3 linked regions of the Drosophila melanogaster genome follow. The protein of the gene in region 2 purifies or fractionates together with the protein of the main gene of each other region. This does not show direct contact. Each region holds a gene or a part of one and is shown on either strand. Other genes may lie near its edges. The genes, in order: nudE, Khc-73 and Nost.

The links.
Region 1: the proteins of Khc-73 (region 2) and nudE purify together in Drosophila melanogaster (affinity purification with western blotting, with the first as the bait; one study listed by BioGRID). This does not show direct contact.
Region 3: the proteins of Khc-73 (region 2) and Nost purify together in Drosophila melanogaster (affinity purification with western blotting, with the first as the bait; one study listed by BioGRID). This does not show direct contact.

Annotation. Positions count from the first base shown.
Region 1 is NT_037436.4:9,897,214-9,902,504, reverse strand, and holds nudE (nudE), read right to left. Parts: upstream 3,265-5,291; 5' UTR 3,150-3,264; exon of another isoform or gene 3,118-3,149; intron 2,780-3,117; 5' UTR 2,501-2,779; coding exon 2,421-2,500; intron 2,353-2,420; coding exon 2,199-2,352; intron 2,083-2,198; coding exon 1,809-2,082; intron 1,745-1,808; coding exon 1,487-1,744; coding exon of another isoform or gene 1,401-1,486; exon of another isoform or gene 1,308-1,400; intron 1,163-1,307; coding exon 1,071-1,162; intron 945-1,070; coding exon 669-944; 3' UTR 593-668; downstream 1-592. Other genes in the region: CG46387 (uncharacterized protein), read right to left, coding at 3,337-3,774; CG6707 (uncharacterized protein), read left to right, coding at 4,450-4,576. UniProt on the Drosophila melanogaster protein: Chaperone protein with functions in nuclear localization. Required for centrosome duplication and formation and function of the mitotic spindle.
Region 2 is NT_033778.4:15,529,220-15,534,304, reverse strand, and holds the start of Khc-73 (kinesin heavy chain 73), read left to right. Parts: upstream 1-2,045; 5' UTR 2,046-2,183; intron 2,184-2,909; 5' UTR 2,910-3,115; coding exon 3,116-3,170; intron 3,171-5,085.
Region 3 is NC_004354.4:9,028,432-9,033,266, forward strand, and holds the start of Nost (nostrin), read left to right. Parts: upstream 1-1,773; 5' UTR 1,774-2,438; coding exon 2,439-2,465; intron 2,466-4,835.

The sequences.
Region 1 (5,291 bases), on a different chromosome or scaffold from region 2:
TCGAAACAACAACATCAACTGTTGTGTAATTCATAATATCGCAAGTGGTTTATACAAAGTCATTTTAGTTCAAATAAATAAAGAGGCAGCAGAAACTTAATTAATGCGAACAGTAACATTAAAGTAACGTAACGTAAACGTAAAGCCAACTGAACAGTATCCCGCCCTAGGTGATTGGGTTTCGGATTTGGGGTTTGTGGATCACGCTGAACTGCAGAATCCACACTACTCGGCATCCAGCGAGAAGCAAGGCAGTCCGGCCAGCGCCGGATGTGTGGATTGCTGGGAGGAGCGGTGTCGCTGCGGCATTGGCTGACCATTCTCGCGGTACGTCTTCAGTTTCGTCTCCATCGCCTAAAAAAAAAACACAAAACGAGAGCGGATTAAGCAACAGTCAGTGAACTATATGAAAAATTAACTATAGAAGGATTTGGGCACATCATATAATAAATAAATTAATGAAAATTTCATTTCGCAACGGTTTGCCCAGTGCAGAGTTTAGTCAGCAAGCCAAGTTATTATGCGCTTTCGAAACTGAATAAATCATAACGAACAAAAACAAAGAACATAAAATAAGGTACAAATAAATTTTGTATTTATTAACCAATGCAATTAATAAATGCAAGCGGAGGGCAACTAAAATTAGCCTTAAAGTTCCGAGCGCATTGTCAGAGCGGCAGGCTGGCGTCCGGCGAGTTTCGCATGCGCTCGGCGAAGCGCCTAAAAATGTTTGAGCCCGCACTGAGGCTTCCGGCGGAGCTGCAATCGCTGGTGGGCGTGGACTGGGCGCTACTGGTGGCCACTGAGCTGCTGCTGCCGCCAAAGGCGCGGCGAAAAAGACTTGCCTCGCTGGCCGATGGCGGCGGCGGCGGCTGCACACTTGCCGGGCGCTCACACATGCAGCGAAACTTTTCGCACTCGGGACATAGCAGTGCCTTGTCCCACTAAAAACATAGGGAAAAACACATAAGCCGATGGTGGGAGTGAAGGGTTCAAGGATCATATGTACATACGAAACAATGGATGAGGTAGGATGGCATGCTGGACTTATAGTTTGCGGAGGGACTTACGTTTAGTTTTCTTAACATGTCGGCCACAATGTTGAGCGCCGTTGTGCGGGAGCTGGGGTTCATGGAATTGCCATTGATTTGATTCTCGGGATCTGCAAGAGGAAGCACACGTACACAGCATGTTAGTCGAGAGGTTAGTTAGGTCAACTACTAGCTACAGACGCAAACACAAATCGTACAAAAATCGCCTACAAGAAATGTTGCAAACTCTTTCGTCACATTTGGGCTCTTAATTTTAATAATTTACAATACAATTACAAATTATGAGGAACTTAAGCGGGCTACATTTTTTGGTTAACAAGTAAAAAAGAAACAAATGGAAAAACAATACTAAATGCATGGCTTGAACGTTTGGCGATTCGTCTTGGACAGTTTTAGCGCGCGTCTGGTTTTCTTTAGGGAACTTAGTATCTTACTCTTAAGCGAATGCTGCTGGTTATATTCGTTTCTATTAACTAAACTGCCATTGAGGGCGTTGACGCTGACGCTGGTGGCTCTTGTGGCGACAGCATTGTCGTGTTTTACCAATTCGCCATTGGCAACAATACCATTTGGCAGCGAGGCGGACGAGTTCATCGAGCTGTTGACCGTATTTGTGTCGTTTGCCGTGGGAACGCTCGTTCCATTGACCACTGGGGTAAAGCGTGACTTGACGTTCAGCTCTTGTTTGAGATCTGCAATAGATTTGATGAATTAGTTTTAAAGTCTGTGCTGGACATCTGGTATAGATGCATCCACCTCTCGTCTCATCCATTAATCGCTGTAGTTTTTCCTGCAGCAATCCCTTTTCATCCACTTCCAGCTCCAGAAGGGCGTTCTTCTCGTAGGCCTGATCCAGCATCTTCTCGAAATTCTCTATGCTTTCGTTAAGTATGCGATGGGCACGTTCCAAATCGTCGTTTTTCTGCTCCAGCTGCCGCAGGTACACCTTCATGGTGTCGCGATCCTTCTTCACCGTTTCCAGCTGTTTCTCCATGTTTGACATATCGATGCCATGCGATTCCAACTTGAGCTGAGAATGAAATAGTTGTAAAGACTAATCTTGTCGGGAGCTCAAAGCCACATATACGCAAACTGAGTCTAAGAATTAAGCTCAGTTTGTGTAAATCGGGCTTAGCTTATAGCTACCTTGAGAGACTCGTTTTCCCGCTCAAACATTGTGAGTTTGGCTGTGAGATCTTTGATTATACTCTGCTTCTGGTCCAGAGTGGCGTCCATTTCTATTTCCATTTCGCGGGACTGCTCCACAAACTCGTCGTACTCCTGTTTCACGTCTGTCCACCTGAAAATTAAAAGTAAAACTAGGCTATATGGCTGATTTCGGAGACTGTAATAGGGATGGGCACTTACTCTTTGTGGTACTGCTTAGATCGTTCCTTCCAATATCTGCACTCATCTTCCACACTATTGAACATCGGGGGCGACTCCATTTCTGCAAATTTTCCTTAGCTGCTAACTCCTTTTTCTGGTTTTTGTGTACTAATCGGCGGTCAAAATGGGTTTGTAATTTCGTTCGTTCGAATTGATTTAACTTTTAATTTCTGAACAATGCTATGTACTACGGTTGGTCTATTACTGTTTGGGTTATTTATTCGTGTTTTTTGGCTGCTTTGTTTTTAATTGCTGTGATTAAAATGCCAAAACACAGTTGTTGTTCAAGTCGTAGTTTTACTTTTTTTTTGTTTTGTGTGTTGGGGGTGGTGAATAGACTAGAAGTCGGCGAAGAAAAGTGAAAAATCAATTAGGAACAGGTGTTTGCCCTGAATTTTGTAGTTACTGTTGCTGTTGTTCTTGTTCGATGCCCTAAAAGGGCAGTCGGTTTTGTCCATATCAAATGTAAATAAAATCAAATTAAACAAAACTCATTTTTGTGACGCAGCTGCTGCGGCAACAACAACGAAAACAACGAGGATGATGGTGATGAGCAGCAGCAACAACAACAACAACAAATAGCTACGACGAAGTTTCCCATACAACAACGCACTGCATGGAAATGAAATCATCGGTGATTTTTTCGTAGAATTCCAGTGTTTATACCTAGAATTTTATACAGCACGACTGTCCACATTTACTACTTACACTTTGCACTTAATTTTGCTACGTTTTGTTTGTTTTATTTACATAAAATCAGTGTAAATAGTTATGCTCGTAAAAATTTACCACTACTCCAAAAACGCACAAGCCAACCCTGGCTTGGGTTGCCAGTGTTGGCCAATAGATGGGCATTTGCCGTTTCCAGCCCTGGTCAACAGTTGTTATTTGAAATTTAATCAACATATAAAGTTTTACTCGGCTTTTTTTTGCGTTTACGTAGTTTTCTTATATATTCCAAATCATATTTCTCTAATGGACGTGCTGTGAACGTTATCGATTTGTTGGCCGGCGCATCGTTGCTGGTATCGTCCGAAATATGAAACTCAGAGTCGGAACTATCTTCAATTATTTGAGCTGAGCTTAGTGTTAAATCACGAGTGGAGCTGGGAGTTTGTGGCAGTGCTGCAACATTTTCGCCAACTACGCGCATGGGCAGCGCATGATAATGATATGATACATTTCGACAGGATTTGCGGCGTAGTTTGTGTTTTCTGCTTGTTTCAAAGTCACTTGAACTTGTGGACGTGTTATCGTCCCCACTATTTGAGCCTTCCCCGCTTACAGAATCCTTATTGTCAATTTTATTGGAGTTTTTCGTGATTTTAGACATATTTGTTTTAAGCCGCGCTGGATTGTTTTGGTTCCAAAAATGAACAATTTTTCGCTGATCTGTTTCTGGTTCTTTACCAAGTACAACGATGTGGCAACTCCCTGGCAGGGCCGCAACTGAAAAATCTCAAACGGGACATCGTTGCCAGATAGCTAGCCAGAGTGTGGCCAGATCGCAGCGACTGCAGTGCATTTTCAACAAAAATAAGGTAAAATATAGCACAATTATGGCCAGCAATTGTTAAACAATTAACGCAATTGCCAGTATTATAACCAAATGTCAACTGTGTGAGTGCGACAATCGAGCTCGCGTGGGCGTTGCACATGCAGCATCATCGAATTGATTAATTGCGGCGCATGCCGAAAAGTGAAAAAAGGGAGGATGTGTTTCAATCAACGCGAGTGAAAACCGCGACGAACGAAGAAAAAAAAAACCAAACTACTGCGGCAATCGTGAACAAAGAGCTCGTTGCGTCCGAAATTATGTGGCACAGCAACTAAACTATTGGATTTCCCACTCATTTTCCAGTTGAAATCAACGCGTTGCAGCAGCCCCCGCAGCAACAGCAACAACAAAACAAAGGCAACTGGAAGTGCAGCCTAACGGGAATTGCTCCAGCATATAGAGATTATAGTCCACACATATAAATATCCATTTATCGGAAGATAGTCCACAATGGCGGATCCAGAGCGACAAAGCCTGATCAACAAGGACGACGGCAATGGCTACAATTCCGTGGACGCCGTGGACGAGGGTGCCGATAATCCCGGCAGCAACTCATCGGTGGCCACAAACGAGGACGGTGCGTATCGTTACTGTAAAGCCGGGCATTCAACCCGCATCCAATCAGCCGGGCGGGCAACCCATTGGAAGCCCAACAAGTGTGCGGGCGCTCCACTTATCCGGATCCAACGCCGTGATTCCGAGTTGTCTGCTCGCCGTCTCATTTGGCATTTTCACACTTCACCCAACTGAGTCATAAATGCGTGTGGTTTGGTGCGGGGGGAGAGCAATGGGACTGCACAGAAAGAAAAACTGATAGGATATGTGGTGCCCAAATGCCATTTTAAATTATCTGCCATTTTTTTATTTTTTAATAGGGCCCAGTATTATTGGTATTACCAAAAATTTACAACCTAATATAAAATTTTCTTATTGGCCTAAATATCAAATGGGCCACGTACACCATAAAAAAAATGTAATTTTATCACGAAATTGTGAAGAGCTGCCAAAAATGTAAAGATCGATTGTAGTTAGTTACTCGACGCCGGTATCGGCAAAATTTTTGCACCGCCTTTGTTATTGTTTATGCTAGGACGCTCGTAATCAGCGCAAAAAGCGTTCCCCACAGCTGTTTAATCAGCATCGATTCGGAGGTGTTGCTATAGTGGTGGTTAAGCGGGGGCAGTCAATGAGTCCATGAGTCATCATGTCATTCGCTGCCTTATCGCAATACAGGGCGAAAATGAGGGTCTGCGATGAGCAGTGGTTCCATTGTTTACCAAGGAACCTGATCT
Region 2 (5,085 bases):
CTTGACCAGGCGTATGGCATCTTATTGTCGTTTGCCCAAAGTACTCATTCCAAATAAATTCGTTGTTTGCATTGGCTGATTGAGGTAGAAATTCGAGAATAAGTCCCCCGGGCGATTTGCCAATTTGGCAGCAGGCGTGGGCCAAAAATTATCGAAAATATAAATATAATATGGCTAATGTTTTCTTTGCTCTCGAAGACGTCGTCGAGATTCGCAGTTGTAAGTCCCCAGATAGCCAGTTTGCATTTTATGGCAGCTAATGGCTATTCGATGAAACCATTTCAAGGGTAAATCGTAAATCTGCGCTTGGCTTCGCATCCACTATTATATTATTTTCCGATTTTTGCCTATGCAAATGAACCTTCACCTTAACTTTGCGGATCCCGATCGCCCAGTTTGGTTTCTTTTTCCCTCGTTTTTTCTTTGGACAAACGATGGGTTTTGTAACTAATATTCGCGAACTGGCTCTGGTTTTGCCATGTTTGCTGCACGCTGGTTTTTAATGGAATGGCTGTAGGAAAAATGGTGATTTATATTTTGACACTGCCTGCTTATGATCGCGTTTGGGGGTCAAGGATCGATTTCAATCCGGGATCTGCAACTAATCGAAGTGACCTACTTTTCAAACAATAATCCAATCAATATAGAACTGTCCTTGGCACTCGCTCTTATTCCAAAAAATATTAGTTTACCAGTATTTTTGTCTTGTTTATTTACTTTTGTAAGATTCGCAATCGAAACTAATTTTTAGGATGTGTGTGTTTTTTTTTTTAGCGCGACACTCGCAGCTTCGCGTCTTTCGCAGATACTGTGACCCTTTGCGGCGATTCCAAACCTTTATAAACTCCGTGAGCGCCCAAAACGCACGTGAACAGGTATCAAGCGGGTATTGAGTTAAAAAAATTAATAAAAAAACAGCAACAAAAAATGAGATACGAATGAAAACAAACCGAGCGATGAAAGCGAAACTGCTTTTCGCTTTGTTTATTTTTGGGAATCGGAACGGCCTGCATTTGCGATCGGCTCGTTATTTTTTTTTGGTTCACACGTATACGTCACTAGGCCGGGCTCAAATTGCCGGTCTTGAGTTCTCGTTTTTCACGCCGATCGATCGCGTTCATTGACTCCGCTATGATGGGGAGGCGTTCTTCCGAGTTGAAAGTCGCTCCCTTAATGAGGCAGTGGATCCTTGCATATGCGAAACTAGAAACCTACAGGAACTACATTTTTCTTTTTCATTTTCCGTTGGTAGCTTTTTTATTCGTCTATATATCAATATCAATAAAAAGTAAAACGCAACTGATCAAGTTGCCCACTTATGCGACCCAACTTCAGTTTTTTTGGAACAAAATAGGTTTCACTGTACTGAAAATCAGCATTGCAAAACAGGAAGTGCCACTTAAAATGCAATTGCAAATGGAATGGTTCCACTAGGGAACGGTTATTTTCCAACAGGGTCAAAATAAATTACAGGAATATACAACGGAAGAAGCCGATATATTTCCACATTAAATTAATAAATGACAAGTCAAACAACAAATTAAATCTAATATGACGTTCTATAAGTAAAACTTATGATTATTTCATAAAAAAAGTATACATTGGTTTGAAAAAAAATGGTCCGGGGAATCTGGGACTCAAAGAATTCGTTCTTAAAAGATAATTCAAATGATTTTAAGATCGTGGTCAGATTATTTACTTTAGTTTGTAGTACGCTAAGTAAACGAGTTTTATTTAATTTTAAAATTATTAAATATTTTTTAACATTCTAGCTGGACAATACTTCTACCTTTGTATATGTTACCTTTATATAATATTTGCAATAACATCATTATATATATATTCACTTTTTTAATAGATCCAAAGTTTGAAAATAACGATATTTTAAAAAGCCCTTTTTTCGGTCTGTGAATGGTCACACTAAAATTCAATTTTAGAACTTAGCGAGTTCACCCACCCAAACTAGAATTAAGCACATCGTTTTTGGTATTTTTAGAAAAGAAAACTGTGGTATTTCTTGGGCACCCTGCACACGGTCACACTCATCGATAGTCGCAAGAGCAATCGATGATTCTGCATCACTAGTAAAAATTGCTGAGAAAAACGAAAACGCGAAAAATGAAAACGCAATACAGAAAATCAAAATTGAAGTGAAACCAAGTGCGAAAACGAAGGAGCTAAAGGTGCGGTCAAACGATAAGCATATCCCAAATGAAAACAATGCGAGTGTGCAGCCAAAAGAGGCCCCCATTTGTGTTGCTCCCCTCGAAAGAAAAAGAGCCATAAAAATCGATTCTTCAAAGAAGTCGCACACTGCGTTCGAGACTTTTTTGCGCGGGCGGTGGAGCCTGGCGTTGCTTTTCGCCAACTTTTCGTGGAGCTCGTAAAGTTTTTGTATTTCGCGTGGCTTTTGAGGGTTAAAAAGAGCTACCTGTGCATAGTGCATACCTGCTGATCTGTGTGTGTGTGGGGGTGTAGTTGTGTGTGAAAGTGCGAAAAGAATATCAAGTCTGTATGTACATATTCGCATTTATTTGGACAGCCCTGAAAAATCGGACAGGACACTAGAATCACATTCTTAATTAGCTAATTTCCAGTAAATATTTGAGTGTGTCTCGCGTAAATAACGGAATGCCAGCACATGACAATAAAACGTATCCGTGTGCGTGCAAGTGTGTGTGTGTGTAGTAACAACAAAGCAAAAAAGCAAAAGCAAAACAAAGTGAATGACAAACGGCGAGAACGAAATGGAAAACCACCCCCCGCACCACCCACTTACTGTTAGACATGTGTGCGCGTGTGTGCGTGGCGCTAATTGAACTCACACAATATATATAATTTATTTTTTTTGGCGCTCCACAAAAGCCACTTACTTGTGAGTCAGCTTACGACTTCCACCTGCCTTCCAGATTGCGTGCTCATAACTCCCGCGAGGACGACAACTACCGCTAACAACTAACGGTCATAAAAGTCAAAAGCAACGAAGCCCGAGGAGAAGGAGCTAGCCACGCCCCCCGCTGCAGCCCCCGCTTAGGGAGCCCCGCCCATCCGCATATCCACTCCGCTTCATCTAAATAGAGATTCAAAAACAACACCCGCTGCATCCACATCCGCGATGGCTAGTGATAAGATCAAAGTCGCCGTAAGGGTGCGACCCTTCAATCGCCGAGGTAAGTGCCGATTTACATGCCCCACATAATCCCCTGTACTGGGAGAAAAATTCGCCAACTTATGGAGTTTCAAAATATAAATGTTTCACAATCGACATGAGCACAATAATAAGCAACAGATAGACATAATTTCTGATTTTTCATTGTACAAAAATGTTACATTATCGTAAATTAAAAAACAAAATAATTTTGGAGTAAATCTGAAAAGCTACAGACTTAAAGCTTAAATATTCGCCCTTTAATTTTGTGTTTTAATGCGCTCATATTTATCTATTGTTATGTTAAAACTTTCATCTTTTTTTTAGTATAATAAAGTAGTTTTACGGTTGGTCGTGAGGGTGGTTAAGCAATTTCTATAAAATTATAACATCAGATGCCAGGCACTCCATTTATTTTGTAAGAGTTGATAATATAGTTCATAAGGAGTTGCCTTGAGTGGCCCGCACTTTCCATTTTCCCCACTTTTTCACATTGTTTCCCAACAATGGCCAACAAGCACTGCAGTTGCCTGCAATCAATAATGCAAACAACCAACCAGGCAAGCGACTGTTTTTTTAGGCTAACGAAATTTACATGGGCTTCCTCGCTTCCTTTGAAATACGGTTTCGTTTTTCAACTGCTGCGCCAGCGGATTTTTCGCAGGGCTTAACTGCAGAACTACAGCGTCTACCTACGGGATGGTAATGGGATGGGATGGATTGGGATGGTTTTGCAAGGTCCCCGGTCTGCTCGTCTGACAAACGATTTGCGTTTCCAGCTAATTTCGCGTTACCCACTGCCAGCCACGAAGTGTGTTGCAAGTGCAAAATAACTAAAAATGAAAAACAAGCAACAGCGCCGTCAGCGTTTCCAATGTCAACACTGATCATTCATTTGGCTCATCCATGACTCACACTCGCGGCGGCGTCGGCGGAAGCGAAGGATGGCAGCGGAAAAGGGGCTCTACGACCCAACCATATGCAAAAGATACCTATGTAAACGCATATAAGCGTGCTGCATGCTTGTATTTATGTGCCTGTGCGTGGGGCAAGGTCCACTTGGATCCCCTGCTGTATTGATTGAATGGCAAACTTTGATTGCACATCTTATTTATATTTACATAAGGCATTGAATCAGTTACATTTATTGCATTTTGGTGCACCCTCTGTTTATAAATTGGCATAACGTAAAGTTTGATTTCATACACATATAAACAAACGGCAGGCTTAGAAAGTATTCCATTTATATGGGTCACGATCCTAATTGATTGAATGACAAACCTACACCGATGACTCCATGTTTGTTTATATTTACATGATTGTATAATCCATCAAAACACATTTCTGTTGTTATTTTGTAGCTTTTCTTTTCATACTCAGTTTGTCATAACTCGATTAGATGGACTCTAACCTATTAGGTCTTTATCTATAGCGAAGCTAATGGATGAATTAGGATAATTGCAATTGCATTCTGGTTTTAGAGGTAGTCGTTGTGGAGCATAGTGCAATAATTGTGCACTTGCAAGTATTTGCAAATGAAACACAAACTAGTCTTAGTAGCTATGGGACCTTAAAGTGATGAATTCTGCGATCACAGATGCTCATTTAATTACAAATAACTTTGTAATTTTGACAAATTTATTACCACGCTAGTGCCAGCTACTTGTGAAACTAATTAATTGTATCCGTAACACTTGTATATACTTGTTTATTGGCAAACAAACAACTACTTCTGGTTATCCATCATAATGTGTCACTTGTAATATTTTCCGGCCAAGTTAGGCGTACGCATGGACTTGGTAACCGCGTGTATTTTTAGAAGTTTGACCGTGTATCGATGTTGTACTTTGTCATGTTTTTGGCTTGTTTGATCCGTTGCTGTTTTGGTGTCTGAAGAGAGTAGTAGTCGTAGTCACCGGAAAGTCTGCGATAAGCAA
Region 3 (4,835 bases), on a different chromosome or scaffold from region 2:
GCAATTTTCTATCGACTCCCGCAAAACCCCGCGTTTTAATTCAATCCTCGCCCAAATCGAAACTTTGAACAGACAACGACTTTGGATTCTCCCTTCCACCTGGATATACACTATATATACATACATATATATATACATACATACATTTAATTATTAACTTACGCAAGTCTGAAAGTATTTCTATCGAAGAGTTCTAAACTGCTTAACTGTAAAGTGTACATACATATACCGAATTACAAACACTCACAGATCCTATAAACTATATTTATAGATGTAAGAAAAAGCACACTATTGATAACCATCCCCATCACTGTATGTATATGCCTATTTAATATATATATATATATATATATATATATCTACTTTTTTTGAATTAGTCACTAAGCATAGACAACATGAATTACTAAGTACGATATGCACTGCAAGCACTGAGGAATTTGATTCAATTTTACTTAAGACAAACGAAAAGAGAAATTGAAATAGCATTTAGCAAACCTAACGGAAAATCAAAAAAAAAAAAACAGAATTAAATAAGAGAATCTCCAATTTCTGGGATAATAATTACAAATTTAATATTAATTTTTCGAGCTACATCGGATGAGAAATACCGACGAAAAAAAAAAACTGTATTCGCTTGTGGCAATTGTGTGGGAAAGTCGAGAACGTTTAGCATCTGGATTGGCTATGCAGCATTCGTATGTTATATACTTAGAAACCCGAAAACCACAGATACACACACACACCCACGAATATTAAATAGATGTACAATAGTTATATAGACTCATTCGCATCGATCCTTTAAGCCATAGTCTATCCTGTTAAGCTCTCAAACAAAATTGTAATTTTCGGAACCGCAAAAAACGAACCCCAAACGCTCAGCTACGAGTTTCTGTTTAAAATCCAAGTGCAACTTTCAAAGAATTGTAAAAAAAAAAAAAATATCAATAACACTTTACGCTAGCGAATCCCAACAATATTTGGACAAACGATCGAAATCATCCACAAAATTGCTTATAATATGAATTTTCTGACTCTCTCCTAAGGGAAAATAAAAATTTTTTTTGGTATTTCAAACTCAACAACATTGCGTTTTTCTTTTATGGCATAGTTTTGGGCTTTCTCACCTACAAGTAAAGTCAAATTCAGATGAGTCACGGCTTGTAAGGTAACTAAATAAGTTATTAGAATATTGTAATCACAGCATTTAGACGGAAATCGAAATAAGTCATAAGGGTAAGTTCGAAAGATGCAAATTTATGCATCTGCATTCCATAACTTTGAAGTCATCGTAAGCCAAGCTTAAACGAGCTTTAAAACGTACACAAAGCTTGTCCAATTGGCTGCAACTTTTTTTTAACAATAAATAAATTTTTAAAAATTAAATCTTTTTATCTAAAATTGTCTGAATGTCAGCTGACTTCAATCAGTTGAATATATGTTCTTTATGCATTTTCATTTCATATTTTTCTTTATCATATTCTATTCACCGAGTGGAAGATTTCCCTGCAGGTTTGTTGTTTTTTTTTTTAGCCACATAAGTCAGTAAATCAGCCCACTGTACCCACTGTGCCGCTCCACAAAGAGCGTTCAGCGTTGAGCGGAGAGCGTTTAGAAAGCGCCAGCGACCGGCGATTGCAATTGCCACCGCTCACGGAGAGCGGCGAGCGGCGTTTGCGATTGCGATTGCCATTGGGATTGGGATTTGTTGTAGCGTGGATCGCGGAGTCGGAGTCAAAAGCTAAAAGCCAGATTCAGTTGGCGGCGCAGACTCGACTCGTTTAGTTCGCCGTTTCGTAGAAGAGCGACGAGAGCGCATGCGGCTTTTCCAGCGCGGTTTTTCCACCAAAACTTCGGCGACCTGTGTACTATTATTTATATTTTTATTACATTTTTTTTTATTGTTTTTTCTTTCTACCTGCGAACGCTTTGCTCGCCTTGAACTGGAGTGCTTCGTTTTTGAGTAGTGCATCTCTGCCTTTTGCTGGCGAGTGCTACAATTGTCGCACGTAATCGTGCTGGCAGTTACGCCTCAGAAAGCAGCCAAAAAAAAAAGAAAAAAAAACGCAGATACAAGATACAAAAGTATCTCGAACACATGCGTTACGCTCAGCTGACTCGTCGTGTGTGTGAGTGTATCGTAGTGTCGTTGTGTGTGTGTGCTAACAAATTGGTTAGATAAATTAAACAAAAACTGTGAAATTCGCGAATCAAAAAAAAAAAAAAAACAAAAGTAAAATAAAAGTTACACAAACGAAATACGCGAAGGAAAAGCGACGAGCTGAAACTGAAAGCAAACAATCAGCCGGGCTGACCAGTAGTAAATGCTTTAAACTTCAATTATAAAATTTAAATTGAAAAAAATAAAAAAAACACATATAGTTCACAATACCGCATCATAATATCCTACCCGCATCCTAACCCCCGCCGCTGGCCAAAATATGTCACAATTCCGCGATAATTCATGGGTGAGTTGCGATCGAGTTCAGTTCGGTTTGGCTTGAGATTTGGCACTAATTACCGACTAACTACTGCACACGTATCCACAGTGATACTCGCACTCTATCCTGCACTCAAAACTAATCCAAATTGCACAATTATCCAACACAATTTCTCTCCCTATCCTCATTTGTCCATTGCCCAACGCCCCCTCTCGACATCTTCTTAATTGGTCCAAATCGTTAATTAACCTGTGTGGCCATCTGTAAACCGATTGGCCAATTGGCACCATGCATCTCTCGGCCTGACCCGATTTTTTTAAATTTCGCAGCTCGCCAAGTGCCGATCCATCGATTGGTGGAATTGCACTGGCAATCAAAGTTGATAATTAGGGGAATTTTGACGATTTCTTCAATCATTTTGATGTTTAGTATTTGAGATACATTCACTAGTTCTTTGATGGCTTATTACCTTAAACTGCTTTTGAACTTTAAGAAAGTTACAAATATTCGTTTTAACTTACTATAACTTTATAAGTTTAATGAACAGAAAATATAGAACTTTCCACATTTATAGACAAGCAATTATAATATCATTTTCGATATAAAAAACATTATTATTAGGGGTGTTTTTTTTCGAGTGCATTTGCATTTGTGCCGACTGGCAATTGACTTGGAACTGAGAATTTTGACAGCTTCCGAAGCTTCGCATGCAGCGAATTACCTTGGCTTTATCAGCGGAATAACGGTGTCGAGGTCACTCGAAATAACCTAATCAAATTGGTTGGTTTTTTTAAATTTTAATTTTTTATTTTTTTTTAATAGGAGTGCGTCGTTCGCTTTGGCGAACGAAAGTCGAACAGTTTTTGAATAAATTAGTGCGATGCAAAACACGCAGGTTAAGCGGGTCAAACGGCAATGTTGATAGGCATGGGATGAAATTTATAGATCGACTTATTCGAAGTGCTGTGCAACCCGTTTATCTCGAACGATTTATCTGCGAAATATCTGGCCAAGATGGTAAAAAAAAAAAACAAAAAAAACTACTGCGGCAAGTGGTATTGCAAGATATGCAAAATTGTGGTTAAGTAAAGTAGTAAATTATCAATACTTTGTATTTAGAGATATGAATTCACTACTTAAGATACTTTTTTTTCGATTTAGTTTCTCTATATGTTTGCTGACTTTCGAATTAAGCCGCAATTGCTTTGCATTTTTTTTATCTCTACTTGTGTCAAAGAGAAAAACACACACACCTACATTTACCGAGAAATTTCCCAACTTAATTTCTACATGCTATCTAGATCAAACATCATTTCCACACCTCGAGCGCCCTTTTTCTACAGCAATTGCATGATTTGAAGGTCGACGGAGCTTTCTTTTGTTTCTTTTGGAGTTAAAAAAAAAAAAAAACCGGTGAAACAAACAGTTAGGATTGCACTCAGCGAAAAGAGTTATCTAAATCCATAACTTGTTGATAAGAAGATAGTGGTTGTATTGTAGTAAAAAATAATCATATAAAAACTTGGTACATTTAGGCATGGTGAACTTTTGCACCACAGCAATTTCGCGTAGAATCGCATTCTTTTTTTTTAGAAGCCTTTGTTTCGCTTCGCTGTATTTTTGTTGTTTATGAATGTGAATGCGTTATCGTCGTATCTGCGTAACTGTAATCGCATTATGATCCATTAAAATGCGCCAGCTTTTTTGGCAGTTTTTTTTTTTGTGATAAGGTCTGCGGACACCCACCACCTAAGGCGCTCCCTCGTCTGGCAGCAAAAAAATGAAAATAAAAAATATCATAAAACCAATCAAAATCCAGTAAAATAAGAGAAAAACCAGTTGGCCTGGCCCAAGTCGATTGCGCAAATGTCGTGACTGACGTCGCGCCAACGATTATCATCTTCTTCTGGCTAAGATTGAGATTCGGACTGGGATTGGGATTGGGATTTGGGACTTGGGATGCTGCACCTGCACATCCAAAGTCTGGCGGCTGAAGTCTGCTTCCTGGTGGCAGCTTCAAGTTCAATTACGGCAGATTGTCGTGAAGGCATTGGCCATGGATTCACAACCATATCGATATACACAACCACAACCATATTCACATCCACATCCACATCCACATGTCCATGTTGGTCATCAGCAACTTTCACTCACCGGCTAAATGACGATGACGATGTGTGCCTCCTGCACATTTTGTCATCGTTTTTCATGTGGGAAAATCTCTCGCCTCTGCAAAAGATCCAAAGAAAAAAAGACCTAAACGATGGGGAAGTCGTGTGGAGGCTCGCTTTTATTTTTCCTTCTTTTTTATTCATGGAAGCTGCGCTTTTGGGCAGACATTGCAAAATAATTTCCACAACAAGTTGGGAAGGCCGTCGACGACAATGAACTTTTAAT